Linked DNA regions of Kluyveromyces lactis. The protein of the gene in region 2 interacts with the protein of the main gene of each other region in a pairwise test. Links are inferred from orthologs where the notes say so. Each region holds a gene or a part of one and is shown on either strand. Other genes may lie near its edges.

Evidence for each region.
Region 1: the proteins of CDC12 (region 2) and GIC2 interact in binary tests that used the Saccharomyces cerevisiae proteins (3 or more experiments, as listed by UniProt). The link is inferred for Kluyveromyces lactis from reciprocal best matches to the Saccharomyces cerevisiae genes CDC12 and GIC2.

Annotation. Positions count from the first base shown.
Region 1 is NC_006039.1:1,288,698-1,291,548, reverse strand, and holds GIC2 (Gic2p), read right to left. Parts: upstream 1,692-2,851; coding exon 585-1,691; downstream 1-584. Other genes in the region: VMA22 (Vma22p), read left to right, coding at 1-265; KLLA0_C14740g (uncharacterized protein), read right to left, coding at 2,163-2,723. UniProt on the Saccharomyces cerevisiae protein: Required for cell size and shape control, bud site selection, bud emergence, actin cytoskeletal organization, mitotic spindle orientation/positioning, and mating projection formation in response to mating pheromone.
Region 2 is NC_006041.1:1,924,628-1,927,913, reverse strand, and holds CDC12 (septin CDC12), read right to left. Parts: upstream 1,854-3,286; coding exon 669-1,853; downstream 1-668. Other genes in the region: KLLA0_E21605g (thioredoxin-disulfide reductase), read left to right, coding at 1-227; TRP4 (anthranilate phosphoribosyltransferase), read left to right, coding at 2,333-3,286. UniProt on the Saccharomyces cerevisiae protein: Septins are GTPases involved in cytokinesis that assemble early in the cell cycle as a patch at the incipient bud site and form a ring approximate 15 minutes before bud emergence, which transforms into an hour-glass shaped collar of cortical filaments that spans both sides of the mother-bud neck.

The DNA.
Region 1 (2,851 bases), on a different chromosome or scaffold from region 2:
TGCCAATGACGAAGAAATCATTCCTGAGAAAGATGAAGCAACCAATGAGAATTTAAAGAAGAGAAAACAAAGAGAAAAACTATTGGCAAAGGTGAAGAAGGATCCTATATATATGTTCGGAGGTGCCCTTTCAATCCCAAGCTCTTTGAAACAATGTCAATTATCTTTCAAAGCTTCGATGCCGGTACTTTATCAACTACTAGAACTTCGACGTACTCTTAATGGTCTACTTGACGCACTAGGGACTCTGTCAAATTCAGCTTAAGAACTTTATAATTGCTATGGGAATGATCTTATATCAGAGTTAATACAAAAGAAAACTATCTGTACAATTGCTAATTTGGAAAGAACAGTTTACTGGAAACGAAAATAACGTTGGATGGCGCCAATTGAAAGACGTACAATGAGTGTATATCTGTACACATGCAGATTGGGGATTAATTATTAATAAATGAACGACGAAGGGTTAATCTGTATCAAAAAGAGAGCTGATTTCAGTAAATGCAATAACGAGTGAAAGATGGGTATATTTTCTTGAGAACAATTGTGAAAGTGAATGGAATGGCCCTGGCCACGGGTGAAGATCATAGAATAGATTTATAGTAAATGTTTGAATTTCTAGCGTAGGAAAACTCACTAGAGCTTTCATCCAATGACGATCCAGCATCACTAGGCTGTAGATAGCATAATAAAACATCATCAACTGACCTTCTGGTTCTTGGAGAGTCTAAGTATTCTGATGGCCTTAAAATTGGTGTCAGAATTGGATCAGAGTTTCTTTTCAATGAGTGCTTTGGTGTAATTGATTTTTTTGGTACTGATTTCAAGTCATCCAAAAGCATAGTCTCTAAAAGATCCGCAGAATTTACTGGTGTTTCCCATTGGAATTTGTCTATTTTCTTGTCTCCCGTTTCAGGTGTTGATACCTGGAGGATTGATTGTTCTTCTAGCAAAGTTGGGAACTGATAGTTTTTTAGGAAATCGACATCTACTTCACTGGCATCTGATTGAGAATATTTATGCTTCAAATGTGTCTTCTCTAGGGTAGTTAATTTTGAAATGGAACGCATATGCGAATCGTTTAGCAAGGAGGTAGCCATTGTTGAAGTTGATGTCACTCTTTGGTTCGAGTACGTACTGGATCCAACCGAAGAACGTTTTGTAGATGACCCTCTAGAAACCAGATGGTGTTTAGCATATGGAATTGCATCTGTTACGAAAGCTTTAGTCATTTGCGTTGGGGAATTGATTGTTGAGTTTGTCGGAAATTTGGTATTTTCCGGTATATCCTGTAAGTGACTGTTAGATGGTGGTGGTGAATCTGCAGTAGGCATTTCAAATCCTGCCTTAGAATCTGCATGTGAGATGTGATTAAATCCAAATGGGACAGAAATTTTTAACTTAGGAGGTTCTTCTTTACTTGATTTATTTTGAAACAGTTTTAAGAGGCTGTTCTTCTTCTTCTTGAAAGATTTCTTTCCAGATTGTTTATCATACGCATTTGGCGGCAATGGAGGAAGATTAATGTTTTTCCTATTACTTAAGACAGGTTTATCACTATTGATCATTACAACGCCCAATTCATCATCATCGTCAGAATCCAGAAGCTGGTGAGCTTGTAAACCATATAATTTTTCTGTTTCATCGTCTTCATCGAGCCAGATCGACTTGATCTGAGGTACGTTCATCATAAGTATTGGCCCAGATCTGTTGGTTGTTTTATTCGGCAATGCCTGGTTTCTGATGATTCAAATCATGGCCTTTGTACCCTGGATCATGTTTATCCGTTTATATATACATATATCGGCCGCGTCCACAGTGGTAATGTTTCATGCATTCCTAGGTTTCACAATTTTCTGACATTTTTCGCATCTATGGTTAACTACTACTGGATTCAGTTAATTTAGGAATTCCTATATTAGGTAAAAACACGATTTTTCATTTTCGCACCCTCTTCAGGAATGCAGATACGTTTCGTTGATCGAAAATTAATGTTTTCTAACCTCTCTAATTCACCATCGCCAATCCGGTTTTTTCTTTTTTCTTGGGTTTCATGTCTTCTTTTTTTCTTTTGGCGGCCGTTATTTTTTCTCAAGTTTCTACGGCTTTTTTTCGTGGGTTAGATAAGTCATTAGTTGACCCAACATGGTTACCAATTACGACTATTTCACATTTTTACTCCATAGACTTTCTAGACTCTTAGAACTGGCGGTTCTAGGTTCCTCGGACTCTTTGGAAAAGCTTGGTTGGGGTGTGTATTCATCGGAAATGCTCAAACTATTGAAAGAAATTTCAATGAACTCAGAAAAGTCTTTCACTATCGCATTATTCTCGGAGTCATCTGCTGAAATCGATGTCGGGGTGAGATTTACGCTCAATTTTCGTCTGTTGGTTGAATCCATTCTCGGTATCACTGGCCTAGTACCTGCTCTATAATCTCTCTCCATTGCAAAATTCATATATTTGATTTTATCCAATTCTTGGTTCGATAACGGTTCTGTAACAAAAGCCCTAGAGCGCTTGGAAAGGAATGTACTATTATTCGTTCTTGCAATATCAGGTGTCGTTGGACGACCAGCCAATAAGTTTTTAATGTCATCGCATTCGCTCAAGGACTTCTCTATACGTTGTTCCCAATTTTCTTTCCGTTTATCCTTCAAACTGCTTCTTTTAAGAATGGAAGAGCGTCTCCATTTTCGTAAGTAACTCTTCACCTCGCCCATTTTAACTTTGTGTGGCACTTGTTTTCCCAAGTTACTGCCTTACGTACTGTCTGTGTTTTTTATATAATAGACCGTTTCTATGTAAGGCGGTTTATGATTCGAAGAAGAAAATCGTAAAGTCTCCAAGC
Region 2 (3,286 bases):
TCTACGCCATTGGTCACACCCCTGCCACTAACATTGTTGCTGGTCAAGTTGATCTTGACGAAGCCGGCTATGTTAAGACCGTGCCAGGTTCCACTTTGACCAATGTCCCAGGTGTCTTTGCTGCTGGTGATGTTCAAGACGCCAGATACAGACAAGCAATCACATCTGCTGGTTCCGGTTGTATGGCTGCTTTGGATGCTGAAAAGTACATCACTGAATTAGAATAGATACACATTGATAAATTTGGTGAGATTCCCATATCAAAGCTTTGATATTATGTCTATATCTTATATATAAATATCATCGCGACTACTCCTTTAATTGAAATTTATGTTTGTTCCTAGTTTCTCAGCAGGAGGAAGATTTTCTTTCATTAGTCTATAAGGCTCACCTTTCCACCGCTAGTCCAATATCTTCTATACTCTCCCTTCCGAGTAGAGAAAAAAAGAATAAATAATGATAACATATCATCTTTACAGCTTATATTGATATATAGGAAAGATCAATAGAAAGTAGTTTAAAATAACAACTGTGTGGACATCGTTCTACAAGGTTCAGAAATGGCATTATTCAATGAGAATAATGTGAGAATGGAAAATAACATAAAAATTGGGTTGTTAAAAGGAATATAAATGGGAATGAAAAAAACAATTTCGAACCATTACACCCTAGCGTTTTCTTAATTTCAATGTGGCCACTTGATCTTCTAATTTCTTTACTTCGGCTTGAATCTTTTCCAAATCACCGTTCAGTTTAATTCTTTCATTCACAATGTTTTGTTCCCACTGTCTGAATCTTTGTTCTTCGGCCTTAACTTGATCAGTGAAGTATTTTTTTAGTGCGTTTTCTTCTTCTTTGAACTTTGGATTATGTGATAATTTTCTTGCTGGTGCAGCAACGAAGTTGTTCGCCGATTTTTCTCCTAGTTCGTTATCGTTAGACGATCCATTCAAATGAGATTCCAAACGTAATCTCCTATAGGTTTCGTAATGTAGCTCTTGAGTGGATAAGACAAGATCTAACAGATTTGTTCTCAACAACAACGATCTCAATTTGCGGAAATCACAGTGTTGATCATTCTCTACTTCCACTAACCCCCATGGATATTTTCTTGCAACAACTTTGGTACCACTACCGTTATCGAATTGTTCTTCTGAACCAACAATTGCAAATGGCATGGATTCAATTAGTTGTCTAGCATGTTCCATAGCGGCTGCATCATCCTGTGTCTCATTCAAAGGTGGTGTAAAGATACGAATCTCTTGTGCCTCAATGACCTGTCTAATTCTAAGCTTGAAATCTTGTAATTCCTGACTTGTCAAAGTATCAGCCTTGGCGATTACGGGAATTAAGTTAGCACGAGTGCTGATCCTCTTCATAGTTTCAATATCCAATGGTTTCAAACCATGTCCTGTAGGTCTGATAAAGTACAGTACAGCGTGTACTCTTAGATCAAATTTCACATCTCTGTATGGTTGTTGTTCTTGACGCATATAGGAATCGTGTTGATCGTCTATAAAATCAATGATCTGTTGCCACGATTTATCGTTATTGATGTTGTCACCAAACCCGGGAGTATCAATTACATTCACCTTCAAGGTAAAATTCTTCTCCTCTAGTTCTGCACGTAATATATCAATCTCCACGGTCTTCCTAATTGGCCCTTGCATCGAACGGCCTGTATGGGAGTCAGATGGCTTCAATGTTGCCTGGAACAACGTATTTATGAAGGTAGTTTTACCCAAACCACTTTCACCGCATGTTAACAAGGTGAATACTCCACCTTGTTTGGATACCAGCTTGTAGATCTGATTTGGTAAATTCGAGATTCCTACAAATTCTTCCGTGGTCATTGTTTCAAAGTTCCGTTGCAATTAATTGGTACCAATTATACTATCTTTTGCTGAAGCACACAATGTTATATTTGCTAATGAACAGAAGGTCAGATTGTTACTGCAGGTAGCTACGATAACTCCTGTAAACAAACTGTAATTCCAATTTCAATTTTAATATAGGCTTGTTTTAGCCAGTATTCTATATTTGAACAAAGTTTCGAATTGTTTCGTGTCGAGGAATCCTAGGTTCCCAGGAACATTTCAGAGATCTCTCGAGCAAAGAAGGGTAGGGTAATGAGAAGCGAGTCACGTGCTTTCCAATGTATATTCTGTTATTTCTCGAACCGTGGATCTATATAGTCATTAACATATATCAAACTGGTACATAGAAAGATAATCACTTTGCGTTAAATAACGGCAAATCTACTCTCACTGCTAAGTAGTGCCTTCCTACCTTTAAGGTATCGCTGTGTTACCAGCTTCTACATTTTGTAACTATGAGTATTATTTCCTTTACGAAGAAGCTTTTGAAGAGCCCGCCTAGTTTGACTCCTGCAGAATTGCACGAAGTTATCGTTTACATAATTGATACGCTATCGAAGGAATTTACTGTGGAAGCTGTGGTACCGATTGCCTCTTTCCTTTCAGTGTTGAGAGCAACTGGATTGGATCACAAAGCTGAATATATTGCAGCTGCTGCCTCGGCTGTGTTGAAGTTTTCAACTGTTGTCGATTCAACGACCTTGACTCATACTGATGATATTGTCTTAGATATCGTCGGTACAGGTGGTGACGGCCAAAACACTTTTAACGTGTCTACTTCTGCAGCCATTGTCGCTTCGGGCATCCCAGGCTTGAAGGTTTGTAAACATGGTGGGAAAGCATCGACTTCCAATTCAGGTGCTGGTGATTTGATCGGAGTTTTAGGTTGTGATTCATCTAAGGTGACTGCGTCGACTTTACCTAAAATTTGGGATGAAAATTCGTTCACATTTCTATTGGCTCCTTATTTCCATGACGGTATGAAACATGTCGCTCTGCTCAGGAAAGCATTGGGTATCCCAACAATATTTAATGTCTTGGGACCGTTATTGCATCCTGTATCCCATGTTCAAAAAAGAGTTCTAGGTGTCTTCTCCAAGGAATTGGCACCTGAGTATGCAGAAGCAGCAAGACTTATCTATCCTGACAGTGAAACATTCGTCGTTTGGGGTGAAGTTGGTCTCGATGAAGTATCACCTGTAGGGAACACTATTGTTTGGCATGTGACCTTGAATGGTACCGTCGAATCATTCTCTATAAACCCGTCAGATTTCGGTTTACAAGAGCATACTCTTGCAGAATGCCCATCGTTGGGCCCTCGCGAGAATGCAAGGATACTATCTGAAGAAATACTGTCAGGCAATTACAAGAAAGGTGAAAACCCGATCTACGACTATATTTTGCTAAAT